Linked DNA regions of Drosophila melanogaster. The protein of the gene in region 1 interacts with the protein of each later gene in a pairwise test. Each region holds a gene or a part of one and is shown on either strand. Other genes may lie near its edges.

Region 1 (16,077 bases):
CTTTCGCGATTAATCAGCTCTTGCAAGGTACAAAAAAAATTGTAAAAAAAAAAAAACTGGCGAGGAAACAAAGAGGATGACGTTAAGGAAAAACGCTCTTACTTATGCAAATAATAATTGAAACACACAAACAACAATAAAATGTATACATTGTTTTCCATATTTTTCTTTTTTTTCGTCTTATATCAAGGTTATCTACAAAGAAATCAGATCCTATGTGCACGATAATTTAATGTTAGAAATGTAAATGTACACATATAGGCAAAGAAACATTCGAACCGAAGCTAATTGTAAATAAAATTGACCTAAATATGTGAAGTGCATAATGGGTGGATATGGATATCCAAATTATATTTGCATAATTTGGTCGGCTTTGACTTTTAACACTATCTTCAGCTACATAAGACCTATGTAGTTGATTGCTTTTCGGTAGCTATATAAGTTTTCTGTAGTGAATCTGAAATGATAACTTTTCCGGTTTTTTTTTTTTTGTATTTTTTTTTTTTATTTTACGTACTTAGTGGATGTTCTGCTTCTCTGCGATTTGTTTTGTAAGATCTGCTGTTGGTGTTTTAATTTCATAAGGTATGTCTGTTCAATAATTATTTTTGTTATGTTTTTTTTTGTGTGTTTTTTTTTATCTTTTTTTTCCTATATAAACTGTATAAATTGCCTGCCTGCTACGCTGAACGTTTTGTCAAAAAGTTTTTGTTTTCGATTTTTGCTTTGTTTTTCGAGTTTTTTCTTTTTTGTTTTGCATTGTTTTCATTTTTTTGTTTTGTTTTACTTGTTTTTTGTTTACTATTTATACCTTAATGGTAGAACTTTCCTCCTCTTATGTTTTGTTTTGTTGGTTTATATCCATCACTTAACTAACAAATAGCAGCGTGCATACAGCTGCTGTACAATGAAGCGCACATAACCGTATATATATATATACCATATATATATATATACTATATATATTGGCCATATGCACGAGACTAAAGTTTATCGCTGCTTAAGGACTAACATTTAAAGACTTTCCATTGCTGTTGCGGATGTTTTCTGGTTGCAAAGAGTTAGAATAGTTGCATTATTGCTGCTTGGCTTTGTTGCTGATGTTGCGTGTTGCATGTTGCTTGTTGCTTGTTGTTAAGTTGCTTGCTGACTGACACTGGACACTGACACAGAGACACAGAGGCCAGCCTGTTGTTCCATCTTCGTTCTTGTAATGTAGTACATATCATTCGTATATAATAGGTATGTAGCGTAGTGTTATTAATTAATGTATGTGTTTATATATGCATGCTGCTGATGCTCCTTGTCATCGTCATCATCATCATCATCCTCCTCCTCCTCCTCCTCCTCCCCCCTTGCTATTTCTGCTTCCTCCTCTTCTCTTCCTCGCCTTCTCTCCCTCTATCTCGGATTATCTCGTTCTCGCACATCAAAATATCATATCAGGCATATATTGTATTGCGGACCAACTCCAGCCCTCTAGTTATCGCCGTTGTGATTGACATTCTGCTGCAGCTCCTTCAGCTTCTCTTCGCGCGGCTTGGCGTTGCCAAAGATCGAGGCCGATTGCTTGGTCTCTGCCACCGCGTTAATGGGCGCGGCAATGGTCCGTGGCTTCAGCTGCAGACGTGGCCGCTCATTGTCGTCTGCGGATATGAAACGGATAGGTAAATTGATAAGTGGTTGATCGGTTGGGCAAACTTAAATCCTACATGTACATCATTCAAATGCAATGAATGAAGTACTACGAAAACCTGCATTAAACTGACTTACTAGTACGTGGTACGGCTAATTGTGATACTCTCGATTGACACATATTTGAAATAATTCTTGAAATCGGTTTCTTGAAATGTCTAAAATTGTCTGTGGGCAGGGAATGGATAGGTAAATTAATGCTTTGCAAATATGGACAACAACATGAAATTCTCCTAGCGTTTTGTTTGAAACAAACTATCCTCGACTATCCTCCCATCTACATATGTATGTACTTATTATTACAACTCACCAATGGCGCCCATTGAGGAACCACCGCCAACGCCTAGGCCTCCTGATCCGCCGGAGCCGCCGCCAAGGCCGGTCATGCCGCCACTGGGACGTTCGCTCTGCTGGTTGGGATTGTAGTGGGTGCGCTCGCGGTCGCGGTGCCGGTTGAAGTTGTTGTAGCGATCGCCGTCGCGCGACTGGTTGCCATAGCTGCCTTCCCGCTGACCGCGATCCCGATCCTGGTTACGCTCGAATGGTCGATCGTCGTTATTGAAACTGCCGTACCGACCACGATTTGCCGGCCGATCTGCAACGGAAGCAACTAGATTAGTGCCTGTGGGCCATGTGGTAACCTGCTTACAATTAGGCTCAACATGCTAGCTAAATGCAGTTCAAAGTAAAAAGCGTGCGAATGTGCTTAAGCTACTGCTACAGGGGAGCTATCAATATGGGCGTTTTCAATGGGCGCAAACTAAGCTCAAAAGAAGGTTGGAAATAGGCGGTAACAGCTAGCAGTCCAGGAGTAATAAGTATGTAGCAAACCCACTTCAAAAGAAATTAACTTGTCGATCAGTTTCGATTAACCATCTGTGGATTCCTGCCAATCAAGGACTCCAACATGTTGTTCTTTCAATTCTTTAAATAATGATGTGCACAAACATACTACTACTACTTCTACGGTTGTATAGTCTTTTCTTGTGGCAACTCCTTGAAACATATAGCAAAACCAACGCAAGATCAGAATGTAGAACCGCAGTAGGATGCCAAGGTAGGAACATAAACGATAATCGAAACAGAACAATGGGGGAAATTCTACTTTCACTTTCGAGGATTGCAGCATGGATGTGTCTTCCAGCCATGCGAATGATTTAGAATCGTTATAAGTAATCAGTATAACTGGTTTTTGGCGGCACTACGAGGGATGCAGCTACGTGTTGGTTGGTTGGTTGGTTGGTTGGACGGCAGATAAAAATGCTTTACCATTGTATCCTCTATTCATGCCACCGCCGGAGCCCGCGCCGCTGCCGCCGACGCCGCGACTTCTATCATTGTGACCACCATAACTATCAATGTACGAACCTCTACTATCGCCGCGATTACCCGAACCGCCGCCGCCCTCCCGACCGCCGCCGCCAGTGCCAGGACCTCCCCGGCTGTAGGACTGACTGCTGCCGCCCTGGCGAGGTGGGCCGCGCTTCTGGAAACCGTCTCTGCCGCCGTCGCCGCGGGTCATGCCGCCGTTGCCGCCGCCAACACCGCCACCAGGGCTGTAAGAAAGTCCAAAATATGGTTAGTCAAGTGATAAAATTGGGGAATCGTTAGAAAGCTCCATGTGCTCTGTTCGTATGGAGAGCTCCAATCGATTCAATCTAAAGTATACAATCATCTGGTCTCAACTCACCGATCATTTTTTCTCCGATCGGCAATGTCGATCCTTAGCGGCGCCGACAGATCGTCCAGTTTGATCCGACCATCGCACTCTAGCGCCCGCTCCAGATTGTCCAGCGTCTCGAATTCGACGTAGCAGAAGCCTTTGAACTGATCCGTTTCCCGGTCCTTCACCAGCCGCACGTACTTCACCTCAAAGTCCTGGAATATTTTGATCACATCGCCCTGCACAAGGCCTTGCGGCAAATTGCCGACAAATGCGATGAACGGCGGTTCCGTGGGCAACTGCTTGGATGCCCGATCCCCACCGAATCCGCTTCTGAAAAATATCGAGAAATAAAAATGAATGGTTAGTAGAGTAAGTACACTAATAAATTTAAAGGCAATGAATCTTGGAAATGGGATGCACCCATGAAAAACCTATTCTGCATGTAGTATGTTAGCTTCTAAAGTTGGATTACAGATCCCCCTCTATAGATTTGCGCAACCAAAGCAACTGCATGGTGTGCTCGATTCTGGCTCCTGGTATTTGCTGTGCCCCTTTGTGTGGAGGATTACTCCGTGGCCTGGGAACCTTGACATCGAATCCAATTAATGGGGGTGTGTCTGTCTCTTCTTCTTCTTCCCTTTTGAGGGACTGTGGTGTGAGGGGGGGGGTGGTGGTGGTTTGTGGCGCCACCCCTTGGGGCAAAACGCACATGGTCGGCATTTATCTATGTGGCCGGCTAACGCTGGCTCGGATTCCCGGCAAACAGTCAACAGAGATGCAGGCACAAATAAAAAAAAAACCGAAGAACAACAAATGCAGTGGGACAGGTGTCAAATGGTGAGGGGGGTGGGGGTTAAATCGCGCGCGCTTTTTGGCGAAAATTGCATTATGCATGGAATTTGCAACTATTTTTGGGTTCATATTTTCTTCTTCTTTTTTCTTTTTTTGATGAGGGGTGGGGGGATTTTAATGTGAAATCTGCCGGTGTGCTGTCAGCGGCGTAGTCGACGTTGGCGCCGACGACAGCTGCAGCAGAGTTTTCCAAGAAAAACAACGCAAGCGATGAAAAGAATCGACAAAATAAAAACCGAAAAAGAATGTTAAGAAAAAAAAACGCACACTGCCCCTCACACACACCACACACACACACACACCACACACATACGCACACGCACGCACGTACAAAGGCGGCGGCGGCGGCGGTGTCGGCGACCAACGACCGACACGTACAATACACATGCACATTACTGTATGGGTGTGCGAGCGGCGAGGCGAGAGCGTGCGCGTGTGTTGGTGGGCTGGTGTTGCCTTTTTTTTTGCCCAAACCCCAAAAAACCGCGTGCATTATTACACATTTTGCCCAGATTGTCGGCACTCGCGCAATTCGATCGCATCGCGTCCACTTTCACAAGCACCGGCGGTTCGCGGCCAACGCGGAGCGTACGCTATTGCAAAAATAATTAATAATATTTACCTAGCGTGTTCATAACCACCTCTTCCAGCCATGTTTTATTTTTTTCAAATGAGCGAATTCGCTGCAAACCGCAGTGTGAACACACGGGCGAAAAATACTATCGCGGCGAATTTGGTCGGGCAGTGTCACCACACCAATTAGCTGATAGCCGCCTTTCTTAGTATTTTGGTCGTTAGCAGGGACGCATGCCCAATTGCGTCCAATTTTCAGATATCGATTAATATTTATAGTTGTTTAGCATTCTACAATTGTTCCTTTTCTAATGAAACATTCAAAAATGACATTGAATACATAGAGAGGAATACATATGTTTGTATAAATTTTTTTGTTGAAAAAAATAATACTAAAAGTAACTGGACACAAATGGTTTTTTTTAATACTGAAAATCTATTTAGCGGTATTTTTTTTTGGAGCACCAGGATAGTTCTTATCGTTATCGACAGTACAACTAATCAGCTGTGAAAGTACAAACTGCTATATTTTATATAGACTGAACTTAAAATTAAGTCATGGCGGACGACAACTGCATTTTCTGCCTAATTTCCGATGGGCGGATCCCCTCCACTGTTTTGGAAGTCGAAAACGATGACTTTGTCATCTTCCAGGACATTAAACCCGCTTCCCAGCACCATTACTTAGCAGTGACAAAAAAGCACTACGCTAGCCTCAAGGATCTTAACAAATCGCACGATTCTTTGGGTAAGATTGGAATTGGCGTGACCTCGGGCCATGCCCTAATAATTCTGATATCCTTGGATTCCTTACAGTGCAGCTCATGGAGAACGCCCTGAAGGATCTTCTGGTGTCCAAGGGAGTTTCTGTCGATGATGCCCTCTTCGGATTCCATCTGCCGCCGTTTATCACGGTGAAGCATCTTCACATGCATGCCATTAGCCCACGCACCCAAATGACCTTCCTATCTAAGATGATCTTTAGACCCTCCGTTTGGTTCAAAACCGTAAGTATTTGGCTATTCTGATTTTGACCACTTAGAGGCCCGCTTTAATTTAATCTTATCTATTTAATTATAGGTCGACGAGGCGCGTATTTACCTTTCCCAAAAAGAATAGATCGGGACCATCATAGATAACTGTTAGATAAATATATATTGTACTCGCGCGCTGTCATAATTAACTAATAAACGGAGCCAACCTATACAAATATTCTAATGTTCTTTAAATTAAAAGTGTAGCTTCTAAAAAAACCGATTCAAGCTACATGTCATTACATATTTAATGGCCTTTTTGTATGCGATAATATGCAACCTTTTAAAATGTTCTGCAAATTTAAACAGATAAATATGAAAAATGAAAATTTGACATATGGGAATTATCATCATAACATGGATAAAAAGTGACATATAGATAAAAGAACAACTGCTTTTTATTCCTATTTATCAGTATTAGCAATCTATATAACTTTTTGAGAATTTAACTTTTGGGTCAATTTTCGCAATTTTTGTAATATTGCAATAAATTTAACAAAAATTAACATTTCCAATTTGAAATTGATTGGTATTTAAATAACAAGCTCGCCAAGGGATGGCATTCCACATTTGGACTATTATTTCGAATGTTCTGATCAAAATTAAAACCAAAACAGTAAAATTTGAAATTGACCGGCAATCCATGTGACAAACAATCGATAGACCGCTGCTGCCCCACCTTTCCAGTGTGACCAGAAGCAATCCAATTGGCAACGTTTTGCCGGCTACGCAATTAAATATCGATAACACCACTGTCATACCTTACGCTTCTTCTTCTTGCGCCCGCTCGGCAGAAATTGTACACGTTTTTCATTTCGAAAAGTCCAAATTGCCCATTTTTTGGCCATAGACCACAGACTTTAACATGGCCCTGACGTCGCGCTTCTACAACGAGCGGTATCCGGAGATCGAGGATGTCGTTATGGTGAACGTGCTGTCCATCGCCGAGATGGGCGCCTACGTTCATCTGCTTGAGTACAACAACATCGAGGGCATGATCCTGCTGTCGGAGCTGTCCCGCCGGCGCATCCGCTCCATCAACAAGCTGATTCGTGTCGGCAAGACCGAACCGGTGGTGGTTATCCGTGTTGACAAGGAGAAGGGCTACATCGATCTGTCGAAGCGTCGCGTTTCGCCCGAAGATGTCGAGAAGTGCACCGAGCGCTTCGCTAAGGCCAAGGCCATCAACTCACTGCTCCGCCATGTCGCCGACATACTCGGCTTCGAGGGCAACGAGAAGCTGGAAGATCTCTACCAGAAGACCGCCTGGCACTTCGAGAAGAAGTACAACAACAAGACGGTCGCCTACGACATCTTCAAGCAATCGGTCACCGATCCCACCGTCTTCGATGAGTGCAACCTGGAACCGGAGACCAAGGAGGTCCTGTTGAGCAACATCAAGCGGAAGCTGGTCTCGCCCACTGTCAAGATCCGTGCGGACATCGAGTGCTCCTGCTACGGTTACGAGGGCATCGACGCTGTCAAGGCATCGCTCACCAAGGGCCTGGAGCTGAGCACCGAGGAGCTGCCCATTCGCATCAACCTGATAGCACCGCCACTGTAAGTACCTGTAAACTATTGTAATTTCCCTTGGTGTAGACGAAATTAACGAGGGTTTCTTTAATTAAAAGAATACGAAAATTGTAGATTTCTGTTCTTCATTTTAGCCGAAATTTATCGTTAAATAATAAGGAAATCCCTTTCATCTTGTATATATTGTAAATGACCACTTGGTTAAGAGAAAAACTTATATTCAATTTAATTTTACAACTTCTTGTGAAATCGAAATAACTAAAAATGTTGCTTAAATGAGTTAATTGGTTCCTAAACGTAATCGCTCTTCATCCGTATCCTTTTAGCTATGTAATGACCACATCCACTACCAAGAAGACAGACGGTTTAAAGGCTCTGGAGGTGGCCATTGAGCACATTCGCGCCAAGACCAGCGAGTACGATGGAGAGTTCAAGGTGATCATGGCACCCAAACTGGTTACGGCCATCGACGAGGCGGATCTGGCCAGACGCCTGGAGCGCGCTGAGGCCGAGAACGCCCAGGTGGCTGGCGACGATGACGAGGAGGATGGCGCCGACCAGGAGGGCATGCAGTTCGATCCAGAGAAGGAGTTCAACCACAAGGGATCGGGGGCGGGTCGTGCGAACGAGGAGGATGAGGAGGAGGAAGAGGATTAGCGTAGCCACAGCATCAGACACAACTATAGCAACTGTAACAAACAATTAAAGGAGTTTTGCAAAAATCAGAAGTTGTAATTTTATAATTTATATACATAACATATAACGAATGCTATTAAAGATTTATAAAAGTGAAAACAGCGAGATGCCCAAGAAGACAAATCAAAATGCGCTTGCTCATCTTTTTCTTTTCAAATCCAAAACAATACTATCGACCATTTATTATTGAACCCAATTCAGTTTTTCTTGACAGACCCTTAATACTAATTCAAATTGTGTATAAGTGTAATATTATTTAATAGTCAGGCATTCTTTCGTTTTTCTTTTGTATTTACTTGTTTCATGTTTTCGTTGATGCGGCTTGTTTCCATCACCGTCCAGATTTTCATTCATTAAATTTTAGATTATATCGCTTACTATTCTCTCTAGAAAAAACCAACCCACCTCTGCTTTAAAAATGACCCGGTAGTGCTGCGTAGCACCCTAATTAGATATTGTACATCGTAACAAACGATTCGTATAAAAAAAGTGACATCAGTTTATAAACATTTCACTAAATTAGAAAGGTTTTCGTTTCGGTATTCATTGCTTTGTGGTTGTGTATAGTCCTTACTATTTCCTATTTGACTTTATATGTGGCGTGGCGTGGCTTATTATTTGGTATTGCTCGGAGTATTTCGTTGGAACGGCTTCCAGTTAATGGGGTCCAGTCTGTTCATCATCCTATTGCAATCCGGTTTCTGGCTATGGGGAGTTCGGCTTTAGGTGGTGGTGTGGGCTGTGCGTCTAGCCGCGTTCAGCTGAGTTCGCTCCCCGAGGCGGCATCGTTGCGGTGGAGCAGCACGGACCTGGCCGCCTGCTTGTTACCGCCGCACAGGCGCAGCACGGTAAGCACATCGCTGCGAGGATAGCCAAGGGCCATGAGATCGGTGACATCCTGTTCGGTGAATCGTTCTTGAGGACTGATCGTGTTGGGCCCGCCACCGGCGCCACCGCTCTCCCGTTTGCTTTGCTCGATTGCATTGGAAATCGCCTCCTGTTCCATCGAATCCTCCGAGTTTCCTGTCAGCCGGGCGCTGACCGGCAGCTCACTTTCCGGCAGAAAGGGTGTCGTTGTTCCCGTGGTGCCAATAATCAACAAATTACGCTGCAAGTCAATCAGGCACTGGAAAAACCAATTCAATTAGCATTTAGGCGACGTAATCTGATGCTATCTAGATTTCATTACCTGATGTCGCTTCAGCATGTCCAGACCCAGCAACATGTCCATGGGTTGCTGGCCCAGCACGGTGAAACTGGACGTTAGGTGATCGTTCTCAATCTGCAACTGGACCATGTGTATCCTGCCCAGAATGGGCTGTGTGCCAACGCCCTTGGCCACACCATTCCAGCGTGTGTCAATCAGACGGTTGACATGGCATCTCTCGGCGCAGTCTTTGCTCATGATCGTCGTCTGGGCGCCAGAGTCCACAAAGGCCTTCACAGGAATGCCATTCACTTTGCAGTTGATATAGCTAATAATATGCAATATTGCAATGAGCCAATCCAATCATATTAATTATTTTTACCATTACTTACAGCATTGTAACCGTGCCAAAGATCTCTGGATTGTATTCAATGGCAGCCGCCATGTTATCCTGGATATTCTTCTGCTTGATCTCTTCGGCAATCAGACGTTGAGTCTCCTCATCGAAGGGATCGGCGTTTAGCATGCGCATGCGGTGCTCGTTACGACGCTTTCGCTCCGTAATATGCTCGCGAAGCAGCCGAGCGAACTTTTCCTTGTCGCCGGAATCGATGGCTTCCGCCAGGCTGGGATTGTACTGCCGGAGGAGCGACAGAGTCTCGGGACTGGACAGAAACATCTGTCGCACCGTCTCTGGGTCGTCGTCGAAGTTCACATTGAACTCATCGGTCGTGGGTATGTCCGTGAGGTTGTTGAACTGCGGCTGCTGCACTCCCTGCTGCTGCACCCGCCTTGACGGTGGACTGCCGCCTGAACTAGTGCCCGGCACGGCGATGTTGCTGAAGTCGAGCGTGCTGATCGCTGGATTTCCGCCAACTGAAATTTTTGAATGAGACGAAAGATTAATCGATTGAGGTAGTTTTCTATTGCGTTTCTTTACAGGATTACATTTGTCAATATTCGAATCGATTACATTGAATATAGTTTAAAAGACAATTTGTGGTCAGTGCAGTTATCTGCTACAAATCGAGAAAATTATCAACATATTTACGCGTAAAATGGAACAAATTTTGAGAAAGAAAGAGCAAGCAATACCTAAAAACCTCAACAAATTTTGCCCAAATATAATCTGGCTTGCAGATTGTGAAATAAATGATTGCGTATAACTCATGCTAATTACCATACAACAAACATTTATATACATATGTGCATATGTATAAACGTTTGTCGAGATAGATTAAATCACCGTCATCCAATTTGAATGGAACTTAATTAATCTGTGATCTATAATCGAATTAAAAACATCAGACTAGCGAGATAAACCAATGCAAGTGCAGTTGTGTTAACTAGATAATATGTACATATCTGTAGATAAGTGATATGTAGTTGAACTCATTTTCTGGCTGCCAAATGAGCTTGCTCGCGTGCGAGTCATGGAGTCCAAAGTGCTGTGCAATGGTCAAATGAAATCGAAAATTGTTCACCGCCCACACCTGTCTGCAGTCGCCAAAATGTGTGCACATGTGTGCAGAAATACCATTCATACATATGTACATATGTATATAGCAAAACAATTATATATACACGATCCCATTTCAATGGACAAGCTGACAAGGCCAAATGCGCATTCAGGGGTCAACAAAACAGTGGTCCGGCCACAGTGGGCGGCCCAAGTGGGTGGATCCATGGGGCTGAGACTGAGGCAAAGGCAACGCACCTGCTGCTGCTCCTCCACTTTCATTGGTATGCCCATTCCTCACCGAACCCGAACCCCCCTCTCTGCTGCAGTGGAAACAGCACACACTTCCAGTGTTCTTTCCCGTGTCTGTGTGCCGCTGTTTTTTTGGAATTTGCGAAAAGAAAGTCAGACGAAGCAAGGCGTTTATTTTTAACACCAATTGCGCCGCAAAAAGATGAGCTGTGCTCGCTGCGCTTTTCCATAAAAATCTAGCAACTAATAACGCCAACAAATTAAAAAAAAAATGAGCACAGTTCAAATTTCACATTGCAAAAGTATTGTTAAATGAAATGTTCGCACTACGTATTCGGGGTTTCCCGGTTTTTCCTAAATATTATGTTGCTGAAGTATTTTTTAAGCGACATTTGAATATAAACGTGTTATGGATCATGTAGGACAATAATTAATTTTATTATTGTGCGAATTCGCGTTATCTGACCAATGAACCCCCTTCACCATCCTCCAAAACACACTCAAGATCCCCCCCCCTCCACGGGGAAAAACGTGACCCACATAAGGATAATGGCTCCCCCTCTCTTCACCCCGCTCTTTCCACTTTCCCATCTCGTTTCCATTCCAACGCCGAATTTCAACTCTCTCTCTCTCTCACCTGGGCGATTGGCGCTCCTGCGTCGTTCCAGCATGATGAAGTCGCCGTCGCCGACTCCGCACTGTTGCAGCGTCTGTTTGTCGCTGGAAAGCTCCCGCCCGTTGAAAATTACCGCTATTTGGGACACTTCCGCACCGATCTCCATCGCGCAGAGGGCCTTGAGATTCTCCAGCTCAAGATCCTGGGCCACGTCCAAGCAGAAGACCTTGTCATCGCTGGTCGTCACTGTGATTTTCATTGCCGCTGCGTACTGTGTGTATGTGTGTTGGCGTTTCTGTGTTACCGTGGTTTAGGTGGATCGAATGTTAGCGAGCGCGGGTATGTACTGCACTGGTGGGTGGCAAAGTGAATCACAATCTCTGCTGGTCTAGCCTTTTCGCCTTTATCTTTGCTAGCTGGATGGGTGTGCTGATATTCTGCTGCTCGCTTATTGTTTTGACACAACAACGAAAACGCCGCCTCCACGCGGTTGCATGCGACGCCTTATCGATACTATTCGCGGTCTGACTATCGATAGTTGAATGGGATGGCTAGAGCATTGCTCATTTGGAGGTATTACGACGAATTTGGAGAGACAAATGATTTTCCTCTTACCTTAGTTTAACATATTTCTCAAAGGTAAGCCAAATGGAGCAAAAGCTAAATATAGATAAAATTTCATCGATATATACCATCACTGCAGGTATCGATACATATCGATGACTCATGTGCTGTCATCGAAATTTTATTGTATTTACTTTATTCAATTGGAGTCACTTGCAGCGTTTGGACACCAAGGAGCTTTTCGAGGAGCATAGCGAGAAACCAGATAAGCCACCATGTCCACACAGCAAGCGGAGAATGAGGAGAGTGCAGCGGCGAAGTCCAAGCGACCTTCAGGTGAAAACCCAGTTTCATGCGAGTCGCCCCATCCAAATCCCAATCCCCCAATAACACACTCACACACACTTGTCTGCGTAACAAGTGATAAGGAGGGGAATGACTAATATCCAATGGCAAATCGATTTTCGGGGCCCATCCTGGTGTCCCTGCATTAACCATGAGGTCATGCCAAGTCGCTCACGTTTGCCCGTTTCCCATGTTGTCCACCCACAGATTCGGCCTTCAAGCAACAGCGCCTGCCCGCCTGGCAGCCCGTCCTGACCGCCCGCACCGTACTGCCCACCTTCTTCGTTATCGGAGTTCTATTCATACCCATCGGCGTGGTCCTGCTCCACCTGAGCAACACCGCCAACGAGCTGATCATCGACTACACCAAGTGCAGGCGCTCGGGCGGAAATACCACCTGTGCGGAGTATCTGGAGGCCAACCCCGGCGTTACGTGCCCCTGCGAGGTGCCCTTCGTCCTGCCCTCGGACTTCAATGTGAGTTATAGGGATCCAGAGCTTCAGTAGCTGTCCAGCTCAATTAATCAGCTCTTAGTTTAGGTAGTGAAGTAGTTCAAATGAAAAGCTATATGCTGCTTTTATAATCTGCAAGGCATTTATCAACATTGCTTTTAGCAGGTTTGGAAAAGATATTGATGATATTGATAGTGGATTTGGATTCCTTATAATACTTTAGAAAGAGATTCTCATTTAAGTATTTCGTTAACTTCCTTTTTTAAAGGGTGTGGTATACATGTACTACGGACTGACCAACTACTATCAGAACCATCGGCGCTATGTGAAGTCACGGGACGACGAGCAGCTGCTGGGTCACCTGTCGCAAACGCCCAGTACAGACTGTGCCCCCTTCGCCTATGATCCCGATTCCGGAAAGCCCATCGCGCCCTGCGGTGCCATTGCCAACTCGCTGTTCAATGGTGCGGCACAGAAACTACCTTGACTGTACCGCAACTAACATTGATATCTTCCAGACACGCTGACCCTCTTGCAGGGTGGATCCGAGATCAAGCTGCTGAAGACGGGCATTGCCTGGCCGTCGGACAAGCGCGTCAAGTTCCGAAACCCAGAGGGTAACCTGAACGTCTCCCTTGAGGGCTTCTCAAAGCCAATTTTCTGGCAGAAGGGTCTGGCCGACCTGGACCCGGAGAATCCGGACAACAATGGCTTCCAGAACGAGGATCTGATCGTGTGGATGCGCACCGCCGCTCTGCCCAGCTTCCGGAAGCTATATCGCCGTCTCAACCAAACGAACACCAACTATGCCAACGGCCTGAAGTCTGGCAATTATACGCTTAACATTAAGTATAGTAAGTACGAATGGCTGGGATATCGCGAATGCTGTATCTAATGTATTTGTGTTTTGCCCTTCAGATTATCCGGTGGTGTCGTTCGACGGCACGAAGCGAATGATACTCTCCACCACATCCGTGCTCGGTGGCAAGAACCCGTTCCTGGGCATTGCGTACATTGTGGTGGGTGCCATTTGCATCACCCTGGGCCTGGCCCTGCTATTTATTCATATGCGATGCAGTCGCAGGTGAGTTGATCATCGCACATCGTTGATTCATCCTCATTGTACCGATCGTCATTCATCCTGCCCTTATCCCCCACTCCCACAGCATTATAGTTCATTAAGTCTGCTAAGAGTCGAGTATTTCATTCCCCATTGAAGCCGAATCGTTTCTCATGGCCAAATTAGCGTTTTGCTCGGTGCGCGATAAGTATTGACAATTAAGTAGCGTTTGATAGTAGCGTTTTACCTAATCGGGCACTGGCCAAAATGATTGACACCTCCTATACTAAGGGCTCTTGAACTAATCATGGTTTTATTTCTGTTTACCCAACAGCAACATGGAGATGATCAACGTGAACCCGCACACGCAGTACTCCTAGACCGAGCACCGTCAGTATTCCGGGCCGCTTCACTTAGCTTTAGTAGATCCATTTCTTTAAGCCTTATCAGCATAAAATAGTTTCTATTAACCCATTTCCATTAACGTGTTCTCGACTGCTCTTCTATTTTTTATGTTTTCTAACTGTGTGCACTTGGCCACGCGATGAGCAGCTGTCCAAGTGCCTTTTGTTGATGTTCTGTTCGTCCTTGATCCTATATGTGTGCACCCAATTTGTGATTTTTTCTATAACCTATTCCACCGCACATCACACACAACAAACAGTGGATACCCTTTGCAACATCCACACGAATTTCCACCATTGCTTTAGAAACAGCAAAGTAATACTTTGTGCCTGACTTAATCTGCATTGCCTTTTACTACGTTTATACGCGCAAATAAACATTGTTAATGGCATAGCTCTCTTGTTTTATTGGCAAGTAAATGGGGCCAATTTGAAATTAAGCTATATTCCTTGCTAATATGGGATCGTAATTAATAAGTTTAGGATTCTGTTGAAGCTTTTCTAAATAGTCGTTAAGATGTCTGTTATTTTCATCACAAAAGAAAAGTACAATCGAATTCATGTATTTAACCAATGTTAAGCGAATAAAATTGGATGACATTATGAAGGAATTTGATTCGTAATCCATGTGGTTATCAGTGCTACTTAAGAATTTCCTGCTGGATTTTAGATAAGGCCTCCAAAGTTCATAATATCGGAAACTGCGAGCCCCACCAAAATAAATAAAAAAATACATTCAATTTGCTATATATATTGTTTTAGGTTTACATTTCTTTTATTACTTTTCTTTTCGATTCTTCAACGCGTGAGGGACAAAAGTTTGCTTATATAATTCTGCGTTCTGCATTTGCTTTAATTTATTTTGTACGTTTTAGACTACATTTCCAGTTACAGTTTAGAAGTGGCTTAAGCTAGTTTATTTATAATGTCGCCATTATTAGTTCTGTCTATATATGTTTGCTGAAGTTGTGTGCGCATGCGTGTGGTTGGTTGTAGGTTGTGAAATATAGGTAATGTACAGATTATGCTGAATCTTTATATAAGCCATATGAATCAATCTCAATCTATGTAAATACGGTTCTAAGTATGGATCCACTACTGGCCTTGGTCTTCCGTGCACATCAACTTGATTTCGAAGGCGTTGAATACATCCGACCAAGAATTTATTCTCGGCTCTCATAAACGTGGTAAAAACAAAACAAAGCTTTCTTTATTGAAAATTAATGATTAGAAATTAAAGTTATTCAGAAATACGTGTGTTCATCGGATAGAAAATTAGTAATATAATCTTTATTCCAATATGATTTCGAAGGCGTACGTACATCCGGCGTATATTTTAAACACATCCGACTACAAATTTATTTTCTGCTTTCATAAACATGATTAAAACAAAATGAAACAAAACAAAGCTTTCTTGATTAAAAATTCTCGTTTAGAAATAAGTGTTATTTAGAAACACATGTTTGTGGGATAAAAAAACTAGTAAAATATTCTTCATTTTGTTAAGATGTCTGGACATAGAATTTCAGTATTCCAAATTGTCAAATTTAAGTCAGACTTCTATGAAAAGTCACTGAAAACGAAATGAAATTGTTATAATTCGAAGGTCTTCGTGAAAGCTTTAAATTGAATTCAAAATTTTGGAAAGACCAAGGCTTACAAATATGAGAAAAATAAACGTCTTCAAAAGTTTCGCGATGTGTTTGTGTTTTTTTTGTTTTTTTTTTTT
Region 2 (16,334 bases), on another chromosome or scaffold:
CAGAAATTAACATCGATTATTCGGAATCGTGGCCCTGCAAATATGGTCGTCCTCTCTCCGCTCCAATTGCTTCTGATTGTATCCCCTCGTTCCGAGCTGTCCAATTAGCGAGCCCACTGATAACGCGAGCACGGGTCCACCCAAACAGACGTCGTGTCACCCACTTTACCTAGCAACCATTGTGACCACAACTATGGCTGGAACATGCCAAAGGGTAATTATACAATAGACAGGATACGATTCGATTTTGGACGGTTAAGGCGTAGGTTGTGTCCTCTCGAAGGAGATGAAGAAGTTCCGGGCCAAGGCGAGCTCCCTGCCCATTTTCAACGGTCGCATAACCGACGCCACCACGCTGACCACCAGTTCGCTGCAGTTACCCCTGGGTCAGAATACGCAGCGGAAGCAATCGACTTGCACTCGAGTGCTGCCCACGGTTTTTACCATTACGGACGGCACCACCGGAGCGGCGAGTACCTCCTTAGCGGAGGCCATGTCGAGCAGTAAGGCACAGATGCCCAACCGACAGGAGAGCCTCCTGCAGCTTAGTGTTCCACGGGAGACGGGAGTGGGAGTGGCAGGACCTGAATTGGCTAACTATGAAAAGGTGCGGGTGGTGGGCCAGGGATCCTTTGGCATCGCCATCCTCTACCGACGCAAGTCCGACGGGCACCAGATCGTCTTCAAGCAAATCAACCTGAGTGAGTTGAGCCCGCCTGGTCGGGATCTGGCTATGAACGAGGTTGATGTCTTCTCGAAATTACATCATCCGAATATTGTGAGCTACCTCGGTAGCTTCATCAAGGACAACACTCTGCTTATCGAGATGGAGTACGCCGATGGAGGTACCCTGGCCCAAATCATCGCCGAGCGGCAGGGAAAATTGCATTTTCCTGAACGATATATAATAGCCGTATTCGAACAGATCTCCAGTGCCATCAACTACATGCACTCGGAGAACATCCTGCATCGGTAACGAAGTCATTTTTATATATTCTAGAAGAGATTTGATTACCATATTCGTTTTGTATTCAGGGATTTGAAGACCGCGAATGTATTTCTGAACAGGCGAGGCATTGTGAAAATCGGAGATTTTGGCATATCCAAAATAATGAACACCAAGATACATGCCCAGACTGTTTTGGGCACACCCTACTACTTCAGTCCGGAGATGGTAATAGGTTTAATGGGTTGATATATGTAAGTCACTATACCCTAATACTGTCATGGTTTCCAGTGCGAGGGTAAGGAGTACGACAACAAGAGTGACATTTGGGCTCTGGGCTGCATTCTGGGCGAGATGTGCTGTCTGAAGAAGACCTTTGCTGCCTCCAATCTATCCGAATTGGTAACCAAGATTATGGCAGGGAACTATACACCAGTGCCATCGGGTTACACATCGGGACTTCGCAGTCTAATGTCCAATCTGCTTCAAGTGGAGGCACCACGGCGACCTACCGCCTCGGAGGTATTGGTCTACTGGATTCCACTGATATTCCGTAGCCTGGGAAAGAACAAAGGGTATGCCTGAATTCTGTTGCCACTAGCAGCTCTTGACCTCTCACGATATCGCAGGTACTCCTATGAGGATGATGTGGGAGGTCCGGGTAGCGACCAATTGACTGCTCCTGTTCCAGCCGCCGCCTACAGCAATGTGTCCATGGAGTTGGAATTGCCCACCGCCCAGACGGAGACCAAACAATTGATGATTGCGGATACAGCGGCGCCGCACGAGATCCTTGAGAAACGGTAATGGGTTAGTCAACGTCAGCTCCGACGATCTAATCCAGACGACCACCTGCAGATCCGTGCTATACCAGCTGAAGGCCTTCGGCACCTGCTTCAGCATGGCGCCCATCCAACTGCCGCCGAAGGCTGTCATCGTGGACGTTGCCATGTCGGATTCCCACTTCGTGGTGGTAAACGAGGACGGATCAGCATACGCCTGGGGTGAGGGCACCCACGGGCAGCTGGGTCTCACAGCTCTGGAGGCTTGGAAGCACTACCCCAGTCGTATGGAGAGCGTGCGCAACTACCATGTGGTGAGTGCCTGCGCCGGCGATGGCTTCACTATCCTGGTTACCCAGGCGGGAAGTCTGCTAAGCTGCGGCAGCAATGCCCATTTGGCACTGGGACAGGACGAGCAACGCAACTACCACAGCCCCAAGCTAATAGCCCGATTGGCAGATGTCCGGGTGGAGCAGGTGGCCGCTGGACTCCAGCACGTTCTGGCCTTGAGCCGAGAGGGAGCGGTCTACGTCTGGGGCACCAGTACGTGCGGTGCTCTTGGCCTTGGAAATTATCAGCAGCAACAGTGGGTTCTAGGAGATTATAATTCATTATTGTCATCTATCTCTATAATTCATAATCCCAGGAAATTCCCCCAAAAGATTCTGTTATCGCATGTGAAGACCAAGCCATCAAAGATTTACTGCGGTCCTGATACTTCAGCTGTCTTATTTGCCAACGGGGAACTACACGTCTGTGGTAGCAATGACTACAATAAACTCGGTTTCCAACGTTCGGCGAAGATTACTGCCTTTGTAGGTCCACAACCTTGAGTTACCCACTTATGCTTACCTTATAGTTCTCATGCGCAGAAAAAAGTCCAACTGCCTCACAAGGTGACCCAGGCGTGCTTCTCGTCCACCCATTCGGTGTTCCTGGTGGAGGGCGGCTATGTTTACACCATGGGTCGAAATGCGGAGGGTCAGCGGGGAATCAGGCACTGCAACTCGGTTGATCACCCCACCCTGGTGGATTCGGTTAAGTCTCGATATATTGTGGTTTGTATTATTCTGTGTTAGTTGAGAAATCCCTTCTAAACCGTCGCATGTAGAAGGCGAACTGTAGCGACCAGTGTACCATTGTCGCCTCGGAGGACAACATCATCACCGTTTGGGGTACTCGTAATGGCCTCCCGGGGATTGGTTCGACCAACTGTGGCCTGGGACTGCAGATCTGCACACCCAACATGGAGCTGGAGTTGGGAAATAACACGGCAGCGTTTACAAACTTTCTGGCCTCGGTCTACAAGTCGGAGCTGATACTGGAACCGGTGGATATATTAGCGTATGTTTTCATTTTGCAACAGGGATTTTATTTTTACCTGCATCTCCTGCAGTCTCTTCTCTTCCAAGGAGCAGTGCGACCGTGGCTATTACGTCCAGGTGCATGACGTTTATCCTTTGGCACATAGCGTTCTGGTGCTGGTAGACACGACCACGCCACTAATATCCTCATACGAAGGTGATTACCCGCACCTATAGGTTCAATAAATCCTGCAGATGTAACATAAATGTATGCGCATTTTCAACATAGTTTGATAATACATTTATTGGTTTCCAAATGTAATTTTAAGTTTTAGAACTACAACTAAAGCTCATTATATTAAGAGCAGCGCTCCTGGGCGCTGCTGGAAAAGTCACTCAGGGGGGTGTGTTGGATGTGGGGATGCATGCTTGGAAATTCGAATTGCCTCATTTTATGTAAATGCACATTTCCTAGTAGCGCGACACCGGTCCGCTGTAGCGATCCTGGGCGGGTCGGCTCGCGCCGTACATTCCGCCTGCTCCTCCGCCCCCACTCTGCCCTTGATAGCCGGTTGAACGTTCGTTGTAGCCGCGATCGAAGCGCGCGGGCACTTGCCGCCAACCGTTGTCGTCAACGGGAGCAGACTTTTGCCACGAATTGGTGCTGTGCATATTCGAGGACATGCCGTTGTTGCCGTATGACTTAATTTGGTTGCCGCCGCCGCCACCGCTGCCCAGGTGAGAGCTGCTTCCGCCGGATGATGGCGCCCAGATGTTAACGCTGTTCGAACTGCTGCCGTAGGCTCCACCGCCGCCGCTGGAGTTGTCATAACGCTTGTTACCGCTATAATAAAAAATTAGAATAGTTAGAATCCATCGTAACTAGTTTAATTCTATTGTTAAAACTTTTACAGGCTGTGGGAGTCGTCGCGTCTATAGCTCGATGTGTTGCTGCGATCGGAATCGTTGTAGCGCCCGCCAGTGCCGCTGGTGTTGTTCTTGTGGACGTAGGATCCGGCTCCGCCACCGGCTGTGTTGTTCTTGTGCAAATACGAGCTGCTTGAGCCACCGCCGACAGTTCCTGAAAGTGGCAAATGACGGACTTCATCGCGCTTATAGTCGTCGCGCTTGCTAGAAGAGGAGGCACTATAATCGTTGGAGCGCTTCGTGGGCACGGCAGTATAATCATCGACAGCGCCACGCTTGGATCCAGAAGAACTGCTGTAGTCGTTACGCTTGCTGGAGTAATCCAATCGCTTGCTGGAACTAGAATAGTCATCAAGCACGCGCTTGGTGCTCGACGAGGATCCGTAGTCATCGTGTTTTTTGTCATAGGTGCTGCAAAGACATGATTGTAACTCGCAAGTTATTTTCTGTGGAAGAATACTTACCTGCGGGAGCTGACTAGATTCGTGTCGAATCTCGGTGGTGGTGGCGCATCAAAAATAGCTGTGCGCTTACGATCAGTAACGTCTCCATAGCGGTCGTCGGCACGTTTGCTTACCCCGCGCTTGCCAGGATCATCGCGGGACTCCATGATCCTGTTTGTGTAAATCGACAAGATTGAGAGGAAGAGAGATGGAAGAAATAAAAGAGTTGAGTTAGTAATGCTAGTAATGTCAGTTCTGGAGTGAAGTGGGGGTATCAGACTCAGACTTTAGACTAGGATGCATTTGCCTATCAACGTTCCGCTTAAAAGCAATTTGAGTTGAAGAAACAACGTGGAGGCTGCAACTTAACACGCTAATCACAAGGACAAATGCTTTCCGAGAGAGTATAAAATAAATATATTGGTATATCTGTGTTGTCGCCTCTGCGTTGGCACGAGTGCAACGCATTACGGTCTGTTTTGGTTTTTTTTTTAGCATACTTCATCTGTTGTCGCTTCAGCTCGAGGCGTTCCAGCTCGATTTTTTCTCTCTCCAGCTTCTGGCGCTCGCGCTCCATCCGCAAAAGCTCGGCCTTCTCCCGCTCGAGCCGTTCCCGCTCCACAGCGAGCTTGCGCCGTTCTTCCTGCAGACGTTCCTCTTCGATTCGCTGGCGCTCACGGGCCTCCCGACGGCGACGCTCCTCCTCACGCAGCTCACGCTCCCTTTCCCGAAGGCGCTGGCGCTCGCGCTCCTCACGTATCTTCTGGTAGGACAGCATCTCTCGTTGACGACGCTCGCGCTCCCTCTGGCGCTGCTGAATCTCACGGTCGACGTCGCGTGGATTGCGCCCCGAACGATGATCCTGACTACCCTTTGCGGATCGCTCGCGATCGTGGCGCGGTCTATCCTGGCTTGCCAACGACTTGCCCCGGTCATCGTTGCGACGGCTGCGGGCCCTGTTGCTCTCCTTGCCATCACGCTTTAAATCGCCACCAACAGACTTGCTGTCGCCGTTTCCATCGCCGCCCTTCTTGTCATCGCCACTGTTGGAGCTGGAGCCCTTGCCACTACCAGACTTTTTGCCACTGTCGTCTTCCTTCTTCTTGTTTCCGGCGTCGCCCGGAGCCTTGCCCTTGCCCTCTTTGGAATTCAAGCTGCCGCCAATCTCGTTCTTGGTACGCTCCACCGAAATGATGCGTCCATGCAATTCGGTGCGGTGCAGATTTTCGATGCAACGCGAGGCGTCTGCCGAGGAGGACATGGTCACGTATCCGTAGCAGCGAGTGCCCGGAGTACGCGTATTGGTGACCACCTTGGCCCCAATCACCTTGCCAAACTTGGAGAAGATTGCCTTAAGGTCGCTGGCACGGGTTAAAGTGGACAGCCCAGAAACCCATAGATTTCGCGACAGCGTCGCCTGCTTGTTGTTTGAGTTGGCCCCAGTACCATTGCCAGCACTGGAACCGGATCCCGATTTACTGCCAGCGGCACTCGATGCAGTGGAGGATGTGGCACCACCAGGTGCTGCTGTCGATTTCTCTGCAAGTTCCATGTAAATAATAATATTGGAAGAGAGATATGGTCAGAGCTTTGAGTGGGCTTAACTGGTTAACTGTTTTTGTTTATGATACGTTTTTAAGGGAAGCATTTTGTGAACGCACACATTTTGTAGCTGCTGCAGATGTTGGAGTTTAGAGCACAATCGTAAGATTACCGACAAACTTCACCTAACGAAGCTAAGAGAGTATGAATTTGATTGGGTTGCTGATGAAAATCCATTGCGGCAGCAGGCTCGCTTTTTGCTGAAGGCGTTCAGAGTATAGAGCAGCATATCCAGAGCTGACTGTTTAAATAGCTGTCAGTTTCCATCGTCATCCACAGGTAAGGCCAGCATATCCTAGCCAGGATCGAAATAAGTGATGTAATACAAATCCAGTAGTTATCTGCCGAGAAGAATTAAAAATATCCGCACTTCCCAGCTGCAGTAAGGGAAAGGTGCCATCCATTTATTCTCCAGATAGCCTCATTTTATATTATAGGCCCCTCAACGGAGTATTTGCACATACGCCTATTGATGACCAATGTTATAAACTCCTTGGAGAACATTGGGATGTGTGTTTGATTAGTATGAAGTTTCCGTCGAAGTTAACTGGAACAAACACTAAGATTAACTCGAATTGCTGAATTTAAGATGCATCGCTGCTCCTGAGCCGAATTCTCGCATCCTTGTTGATAAGAGTCCCATGTCCGTGTCCCAACCAAATTCACACTCTCTTGCACGGTCTTTGATACATGTTCCTCAATGGTTTAGTCAATTTTTTCGACCTTAACTGGGTTCATGCTTGGTCTGATCATTCCCAACGCAAGACCATCCGAACACACCATTCTTATTCATGCTAAAACTTTAACTTAATTTACCTTTATCGTCCTTTTGATTCGACGACTTTCCTGAGGACTTTTGTTCACTATTTTCCATAATAATTTATGCACAATCATGTGGCGAAATGAAAAGAAAAAATATATTATGTTATTAGAAGACATGTCACAGAAACGTTTTCAAATCTTACCTAGAGTCCTTCTTATCACCGGATTTCTCATCCCTTTTCTTGGAGCGAGCTCCGTCGTCATTCTTCTTGTCGGCATCCTTCGAGTTAGACTTTTCGGATTTATTGGCCGGTTTGACTGTGAATCAGGATAACTTTTATTAACATATTAGCTTTATTTCTTGTATTTCGTATTTCTTAATCGATTGCATGAATACAAACGCCATGATATTTCTAGTCATGAATTATAAATTTTCTATGGTTTTGAGTGATACTGCAAACATACCAGACTTAATAGATTTGTCGTCGGAAGCCTGAGGACAAAACAAATTGGATTAGAATACATCAATTTAAGGCCAAATAGTTAAAATCACCTCATCGTGCAGCAGCTTCTGCTCGTCCTCCCCAATTGTCAAATTGATTGACTCGTCATTGTCCATATTTCCGGTGTCCCCGGTGTTTTCCTCCTCACCATGGATAATAGCCTTGTCGTCGCCATTGTTCTCGGCTCCATCGTCCTGAGCTTTCCCCTCGGCATCGCCATCACCGCTCTGGGGCTCATCGTCGTACACATGATCCTCATCCTCTTCATCGTCGTCATCCAGGATCACACACTCATCGTCCACATCTCCCACCTGGTCAATCTCATGCCCATCGTCGTCGGCATGATGCGAGTAGTCGTTGCCATTCTGGTAATCATCTTGCTGTTCCACCTTCACCTCCTCCTCATTGGCATCGATGGGCTCTTCCTTGATCACCACCTCCGACTGGAGATCTTTCATGGGCATGGCAAACGGCTTCTTGGCCTTCGCGCCCGGCACAATCAAGTGGGTGGCCGGGTCGAGCCCTTCAGCTCTGAGTGACTTGAAATTAGAAAAAACCAGGCGTTGCTTACACACATTCATAAATCCCCGGAAATTGCATCACTATCTCTATCGCCAGCGGCACTGAACCGCCATTTAAGTTGCATACATATTTGTGGACTTACTTTTTCAAGGCGTTCGATGAGCACCGCCTTGGGGCCGACTGTCTCCAACTCGCGTTTCTCCAGCTCACTCTTTAGATCGCACACGCGCAACTCTGCTATTTTCTTTCCTGCCTCGGGCATTTTACCTTGTTCTAGATCACTGGTCACTTGCTTAACTATTAATTGTCGCTTTTTAAGATTGGAATGAAATTTTCTGTACTTTTTTCCAGTCTCGAAACGTGTGAAAATTCTTTGACAAGTCTCACTGATACACACACAATTATCGAATGACAATCGAAAATGGCGATTACGAAGTTACGTTCTGTTTTTAAAATATTCAATCGATGTCAAGTATCGGATGAACTTACGCATCGTGTATAACTATTTACATTTACAGGTATGGACTTCTTTGATCAATTTGTATTTTCTTTATTTTTTTTCAGTTTTGTTCAGTTTGTATTTTTTTTACTTTTTTCTCAGTTTAGGGTACATAAAAAAAAATATTTTTTTTTCAAAATTTATGTAAAATACCAATTTTGTACAAGTTTCATATAACACCGACATAAGTCACATTAAATTAATAATTGTATTAGAAAATTTGGATAATTAATTTATACCTACAATTTATACACTTCTCTCCTCCGATGCGCAGTAGAGATGGAAAAACATCGATGATTCCTCGAAAAACATCGATGTTTGTGATTTTTCGAAAGCATCGATGATATCGATTTGGCATCGATGTTTCTCCACCTCTATATTGTTCTTGTTTATCCCTTGATTTTGCCGGTATCTGTGAATTCGCACAATGTCGGTGGTTATAGAAACCACGATGGGTGACCTGACCGTCGACCTGTTCATCAGCGAGCGCCCAATTGCCTGCCTAAACTTCCTCAAGCTGTGCCGGCTGAAGTACTATAACTTCAATCTATTTCACACGGTGCAGCAGGGATTCATCGCCCAAACAGGCGATCCGAGTGGAGCTGGAGACGGCGGATCCTCCATCTGGGGCGTGGTGGAGGGTCCGCAAAAGCGCTTCTTCGAGGCGGAGTTCCTGCCCAAGATTAACCACTCCAGTGCCGGAATGCTATCGCTGGTCAGTGCAGGCAAGAATCTGGTGGGATCCCAGTTCTTCCTCACGCTGGGTGAGAACCTAACATCGCTGGACGGCAACCACTGCGTTATCGGTGAAGTGGTGGAAGGTCACGAGGTGCTGCGCAAGCTAAACGACGCCATTGTTGACGACAGCTTCCGTCCTTACCAGGATATACGCATCACACACACTGTTGTGCTTGAGGATCCGTTTCCTAATCCGCGCGGCCTTCAGGCTCCAAGTCGCTCACCTTCGCCCAGTGCGGAGCGTCTGAAGAACGGGCGCATCGCTGCCGACGAGGATATCGATGACACTGATGGCATGACCGCGGAGGAGATGCAGGAGATGCTGGCCGAACGAGAGGCCAAGGCTCGAGCCACAATCCTTGAGATTGTCGGCGATTTACCCGATGCAGACATGGCTCCGCCAGAAAATGTCTTGTTTGTGTGCAAACTCAATCCTGTTACAACCGACGATGATCTGGAGATAATCTTTAGTAGCTTCGGCGTGCTTAAAGGATGTGAGGTGATTCGCGACCGCAAAACGGGAGATTCTCTGCAATATGCTTTTGTGGAGTTCGAGGATCAAAAATCTTGTGAGGCCGCATATTTCAAAATGGATAATGTGCTTATCGACGATCGACGCATCCACGTGGACTTCTCCCAATCCGTTTCAAAGGTCACCTGGCGGGGCAAAGGACGTGGTATTGAGGGCGACTATAGAAAGCTGGATTTTAACAATTTGCGAGACGACAAAGATCACAGGAAACCAAACAATGGCCGGTCCAGAACAGAAGACCATAAGGAGCGCAACAGGACGGAAGATTTTCGAAATAGGATGAGCTCTGCAGAGCGAAGAAAAGCGAGAGAACAGCGACACCAGGAGCAAAGCGAACGAGATGTTCGAAAGAATTTGCAAAGACGCACCAGATCGAAGGAAAAAGATGAAAAAAGTGTTTATAGATCGAAAAAATCGCAAAATGAGTCAGTCAGAGAGAACTCAAATCGCGAAAGGAATCGCAATGAAAAAAGGTCATCGAGGTCTCGGGATGCAACACATAGAAGGTACTCTAGGTCAAGAGATCGAGAAGAGAGAAGGCCTTCTAGGCCTAGAGACCAATTAGGAAGACGTTCTAGGTCAAGGGACCAAAAGGAAAGAAGACGCTCTAGGCCAAGGGAACAAAATGAGAGAAGGCGTTCTAGATCTAGAGATCAAACTGGAAAAAGACCGACTCAAAACAGAGATCGCAATGACAGCAGGCGATTCCATTCCCCTCAAGAAGGAAGACGTAACGATGAGAGATCGCATAGAGAAACCTCCAGGAATCAAAGAAGATCGCCAGAGCGGAGGTAAAAATGTTAAGCATCTGGATGTATACAAAATCTTTAACTATCTATCTATCTTTTTATAGGCAACAATCCAGGAACCGGGAAGACCATAGAATGGACACTCACTCAAGCCCTAACAAGAGTCATGAGAAGAAAAGAAAACTTTCAGTGGAAAAGAGCAAAAAGCAAGCCAAGAAATCGAAACGAGCAGCTAGCAGCAGTTCAGATTCGAGTGAAAGTTCCTCGGAATCCGAAAGCGACTCCACATCTTCAGATAGTTCCGAGGACAGCTCTAGCAGCTCCTCATCGTCGGACGATCGCAGCAAACGCAAAAAGAGTACAAAATCCAAGCAAAAGAAGTCCAAGTCAAAGAGTAGTCACAAATCGAAGAAGAAACATAATAGAAATTAAAGATAAACGACGTAATTAATCAGAACAAAACCATCTTGACTACAGCTAAATATTGAATATATTTTTATTTGTTGCGGGCCTGGACTTCGGCTTCCAGCGCCGCCATCGCAGCGCCACCGCAGCAACCTTCAGTGTTTTTGTCGCCGCGTTGCCTGCGCGGTTTTTCGATAATTGCGTCAGGATTAAAGACCACATTGTCGAGTCGCGTTGTCTCTGGCGTGATCCTTAGTTCTGTAAATATAGCCAAATTTTAATTTTGAGCGCTCTTTTATGTAATCGCCATGCCCCACTGACCATAAACACCATCCTCTTTTTTCTGGGCTTGGATGACATTCGTTCGCAGCTCCAAATCCACGTCCTGCGCCAGCTTGATCATCTGTAATTTGCCAAATTGCCATATATGTACTTAGTTAGAATTTACAAAAAGTGGTTAAACCTTTTGAATTTCATCCTCGCTGCTTTCATTACGATTCTGCAGGAAAGATTCGTTGATTTTTAGTCGTCCCGCCGCCAAAGCATTGGCATCCCCCTGAAAAACGTATTGTCGTGTACGGTGGAGCTTCTTGAAAGCACTGAGAACCTGGAATACAAACAATATTAACCGATTATTTATGATTTTAAGTTAATTTACCTGGCGCCGCAAATTGGACATTTTTGTATGGTAACAGCTGACAGATGTAAGGTTGCCAGAATGTCTGAACCAATTGATAGTTTTTAGGGTTACAGTTTTCTTAACTTGAAGATATTGCATTGGTATAATATTTTTTTCTCTAATAATAGAGGTCAATAAAAATTTTAAATTCAGTATTTTCTTTCCAATTCAATTTTTTTTTTTTTAGAGATTCAATATTTTCCTTTCTAAACGTAAGCACATACATCGAAAGCTATCGACCTATCGTCAATTGTCCACCTCTAGCAGATGCGGTCAATCTGACGCCAGTTTATAGAAATCTTTTAACGTTTCGGTCGTAAATCGGCTCGAATGCTAGTAGAAAATTAGTGACCAGCGCAAAACGGGTCGAAAGGCAATGCGGCATCAAAAAGTTAACTAAATTAATCACAATTACCGTGCGAAATCAGACAGTGCAGCGCCACAGCGACTTTAATTCAGAAAATTTGTAACCTGGAGCGCATTACTAAGAAGGACTGTTGCCCATAGGAATTTGACAGACTCTGGCGACTGTCAAATGTGTATGTAACATTTTTAAGTGAGGCGTGATCTAGGAAAAATTGTGAAAACTGGCTACCAGCGATAAATTGTCCAAATATTTCGTGGGCATGGACGAAGAGGAGGAGGAGGAGGTTACGGATCTAAAGCTGCAATTGTTCCACAATACAGTACGCGAGCACATTGTAAGTGTTTTTCTGGATTGAATTCATCCCCTTTCCACCCAATTTCCCACCCCACTACGCATAAAACAACAACAAGAACTCAGGGCGCAGCTGTCCCTATTGTTGTTGTTCTAACTGTACATGTGGCTGGGTGTAAAATGCGTGCGACTTCTGGAAATTACACACACTTCGCCTGGTCTTTTGATAAACAGAGAAATCAGTTGCTGGTCGTCTACAGAAATGTATTTGTTTATGGTTCTGTTATCGGTTTCGGACTACAGTGGTCAGCACATTCGGCGCCTGCGTTTGGGCTTTGTATATAAAATCGGGGAAGGAAGTGGCGGCGATAGCCACTCTCTTCTTGCACTTTCTATTTGAGCTGCGAAAATTATCACGCAGACACACCAAAAGTGGCCCACACGGACGGACACCTGTTGTTAATCAAAGAGTTTAGACACAATCGATGATTCGACGGCGAGATACTTGCTACCATTACCAAGCTTTATTCGTTTCTATTTTATTATTAGAACTTTATAAACAAATGTTTTTTTACATGTTCTTGTTTACAATTAGATTAATTAAGAACAATAGGTTCTTAAAATATATGTTTTAAATTTCATTAAAATATTACTCTCCATTCTTGTTGAATATTTAAATTCCAATATCCAAATGGAAGGCAGGCTTAAATAGTTTCATTAATAGTTCCCAGTAATGTTGCCCTTAAGTTAATTGGTTCTTGTGAGTTCATAAGCCCTATCAGAATGCTTAGGTTTTGCTATTTGAAAAATGGAAGGTAACTAGAAGTCCAAGGTATTGATAAGATAATCAACAAACTTCACTTAATTGGTACCAATATCGTAGAACTTTCAATTGAAATCAAATTTTAAACAATTCAGGCAAAAACAAAGAAAGGCAACATAAGCAAAAGCAACAAGTGAAAGTGTTTCACTCGAGCTACTATTTATAGAAATGTTGGGCGTGTAATAAACGAAACCAGTGATTTATGTAAACAACAGACTGAATCGAATAAAAACACATGTTTATTATATTGCGCAAGGCATTAATTTCCTTTTGTGAAAATTCGGTTAAATGGCCAAAACACTTGCAGGCCAGATTTCAAGTGCACGGCTAGTGGTCACGATTTGGTACCGTCTGGGTCACTGAAAGTGTCTGCTGTCGTGATCAGCTGTTGGATCTGTTTAAACAATGGCAGACGAGGCGTTAAATGGACACATTTGAAAGGGTTGGCATAGACTGGCGTAGATACAATACACTTGCAGGTTGCTTTTTATGCCACCGATTATGATTTGTACGTCTATAAATACACATTTCTTTCATTGAGGATGATTCTGTGGAACTGGAACAGGAACAGGAAATGGAAACTGGTTTCAGTCAGCGGTTCTGATTGCATTGGATGGCCGAAAATTGAATAATTCGTCAGAATGTGGGTCAACATACCGAATACGTGATGTGTGGGACTCCATGCAATAATGAAATGCAAACAACGCAAAGCTCTCATAAATAATTCAGGAACCTAAAGCCAAACCCGAATTAAAACCACTAATGCCAAGTGTAGTAGCAGGAAATTCTGAGAAAATACATACAAACTTATTGTGTAACACCACACTTATGTTCTTAGTCATTTCCCAAGTAGTGATTAGGGAAAAGTCTGATGAAGAAACTGAATTGGGTAACTTAAACCATGACCAAAAGTCTTGCAAATGCAGTTCCCCTCATTAGAAAACACATTTTTATTTGGAGTCATTAAAACAATTGGGACGACTCATACAGCTCTTCTCCACTTTGAGAATCTGAAGAGACGCTACATTCTAAAAAATTATCTGAAATGATAAAATGAAGAGGTATCAATAGGCGTAGACCAACCCACCTTGCAGCACATATGGATACAATATATACCCCTGTTCGGCACAACTATTGGGTATAGAAAAGTATAAATATTTCGCAGCCCATTCACCGGCAAAGTTGTCTACAAATCAAGCCAAAACCCGTCCGACCGGCGATCCTCTTCCCTTCTCCTTTTGGCCTGGCCACAGTGTCGTCGTTTTCGCTGGCTTCTGGCTGCATTTTGGGCGTAGCTGCTATTTTTAGCCAAATCGTCGTCCACATTTCAATGGGCGTGTTGTGTTCCCCCTCGAGTTCATGTCAAGTCATTGACTCGTCGTTCGCCTACGATGCAAGTGCGGCTAATTCCGAGGCACAGATCGTTTAGTTTGGCCAAATCCAAATCGCTTGGAGCGTGACAAATGCCACTTGGGGCTGCGCATTGCAGTTGCACGTTTTCTCGACTGACAAGCACTAAACTAAGCTTGAAGATCGCTGGCTCAATTGTTTCCATTCAGGAATGCCTGGCGTACATATTATAAGATTCTCATATCAGTTGGTATTCGTCGCCTATGTGTTTCAAGTTTAACACGTCATAGTCTAGAAAATACACTGCGTTTCATAGCTGCATAGCTGGCCTAGATTCTATAAAAATGCTCTGTGCATATCACATTAGTATTCGAATGCCTCGTTATCTAGATGCGCAAAATGTGTACTTTTGGATGTTTAATTATACTGCAACCTTATAGTTTTGCCATTCAGTGTATCTACATTTTTCCATGATCTACACTTGGGTTCTATAAATAAAGCGACGCACTCTGCTGTTGATAGCAGGCGATTTACGTCTCTATATTTAATTTTTAATATTTGATCATATTTTTTGTCTACTGTGTAGAGAAAACTGTTTAAATGTTGACTGAAAAGAAGGTCATTTCGAATGGCAAGATGAAAGGTTGGAATCCCGAAATGCGAAACGCTGCGAGCAATTAAAGAAAATTTCATTTAATTGATCTGGTCAAATGCAGGCAGAAGAATAAAGTTATAAGTTAATTAAAACTCGCGTTGTATAACGCAATAGAGTATCTCACAGATACCACTGAAAATATCTCGAATAGCAAACAAAGAATAGCAAAACACAGCAGGGACGTGAGTATAAACTAATGTTTTTTGCTCTCTCTGCATTTTTTCCCCAAGTTTTTTTTTGCTAGCTATAACATGAAAAGTATCTTCACTTAATGATTTATTTGTGCGCCTAGACTATTGTATTTTCGTATCCATTTACGTTTTGTTTTGTTTTCGCTTTTCGCATACACAAAAAAAGCGAAAATATGACGTGTGCCATGTGATTGGCATCTATATTTCGCGGTCCCAAAAATATATTTACCCTGCAAATGATGGGTCCAATGTTTGGAAATCGCTGATGAAGATTCAAATTGCCAACCTACTCGGATTTAATAGTCAAGAGTACGGATAATCAAATGTTGCTGACATTCAATGGGATTTAAATGACCGCTATCGGTTTAGTTCTTATCAAATGTTTCATGTTTTGTCGTTGGCCACAGATAAGCTTTCTTTTGTGACCTTTGAACGCAGACGAAATTAACTTTATTGGTCTAATTGACGGTCATAATATTTCATCGATTGCCAAGTGGTTTATGGTGATATAGGGTTGTAGGCAAAAGAAACCTGAGTACCTGTTCTATATACATACATAATATTATTTTAAGCATACATACCGGAAATTGAAAAATTGAAATGTCCGCAAACAAAAGTTCAAATCACTCTGGCAATGTTTTTGACGATTAGACCCTGAAACGCTTAAAATGCCAGACTTTGACACTAAATTGAATCATGTACACATATCAGTATCAATAAGTAATATATTCACCGAGCTAGATTAATACAGATTTCCCTAACTTAACGAATCGAAAATGTTTTTGGCTAATGTGCACACAGTTGGCGGTAATGACAAATATTTATAAAAACAAAACAAAGGAGATGCGTGGGTGATGTGTTTACTTTTTGACATTTGTTTAAACACAAGAATATGTGGGGAAATGTGCTATGAAAACCTCAATAAAATAAAACAAAAAAGACAATCGAGTCTAAATTTACTTTGGGTTTTACGTAATTAACCAACCTGAGGAGGGCGATCGAAATGTTGCAGTTTCTAAGGGAAAATAAATTTGATTATATTATAGTAAAATATTACTTAGCTGATAAAACCATAAAGCTTACTAACTTGCCATGTTGCATTGTTCTTTTCAGATATTCTTGCTACTGATAATCTTGCTGTACTCCAGCTCCTATGTGGTCGTCTCACGTTTTAGGCGGCGCGACCGTGACGATCTCTATTCGAATGACGAGGACGAGGTGCTGGTCTATCGCATAAGGTGAGGCATCCAGTGGTCAACAACCT

What was found.
Region 2: the proteins of eIF2alpha (region 1) and CG5808 interact in a two-hybrid assay, tested with the Drosophila melanogaster proteins (one large-scale study listed by BioGRID).

What each region holds. Positions count from the first base shown.
Region 1 is NC_004354.4:16,437,488-16,453,564, reverse strand, and holds eIF2alpha (eukaryotic translation initiation factor 2 subunit alpha), read left to right. Parts: upstream 1-6,571; 5' UTR 6,572-6,685; coding exon 6,686-7,380; intron 7,381-7,679; coding exon 7,680-8,010; 3' UTR 8,011-8,389; downstream 8,390-16,077. Other genes in the region: eIF4H1 (eukaryotic translation initiation factor 4H1), read right to left, coding at 1,480-1,646, 1,774-1,863, 2,006-2,290, 2,965-3,251, 3,386-3,691, 4,836-4,867; CG34015 (uncharacterized protein), read left to right, coding at 5,345-5,534, 5,603-5,793, 5,867-5,905; rngo (rings lost), read right to left, coding at 8,807-9,175, 9,239-9,524, 9,589-10,072, 11,545-11,782; Cdc50 (cell division cycle 50), read left to right, coding at 12,363-12,423, 12,640-12,908, 13,153-13,348, 13,403-13,738, 13,803-13,968, 14,279-14,324. UniProt on the Drosophila melanogaster protein: eIF-2 functions in the early steps of protein synthesis by forming a ternary complex with GTP and initiator tRNA. This pre-initiation complex mediates ribosomal recognition of a start codon during the scanning process of the leader region.
Region 2 is NT_033777.3:24,809,336-24,825,669, reverse strand, and holds CG5808 (uncharacterized protein), read left to right. Parts: upstream 1-8,662; 5' UTR 8,663-8,717; coding exon 8,718-10,351; intron 10,352-10,413; coding exon 10,414-10,741; 3' UTR 10,742-10,767; downstream 10,768-16,334. Other genes in the region: niki (nimA-like kinase), read left to right, coding at 287-972, 1,036-1,174, 1,238-1,521, 1,576-1,749, 1,805-2,314, 2,375-2,543, 2,601-2,786, 2,840-3,072 and 1 more; Saf-B (scaffold attachment factor B), read right to left, coding at 3,504-3,876, 3,945-4,370, 4,424-4,573, 4,903-5,941, 6,821-6,867, 6,970-7,084, 7,232-7,259, 7,320-7,808 and 1 more; CG34150 (uncharacterized protein), read right to left, coding at 10,806-10,972, 11,036-11,117, 11,178-11,321, 11,373-11,393; lili (lilipod), read left to right, coding at 12,020-12,094, 16,184-16,308.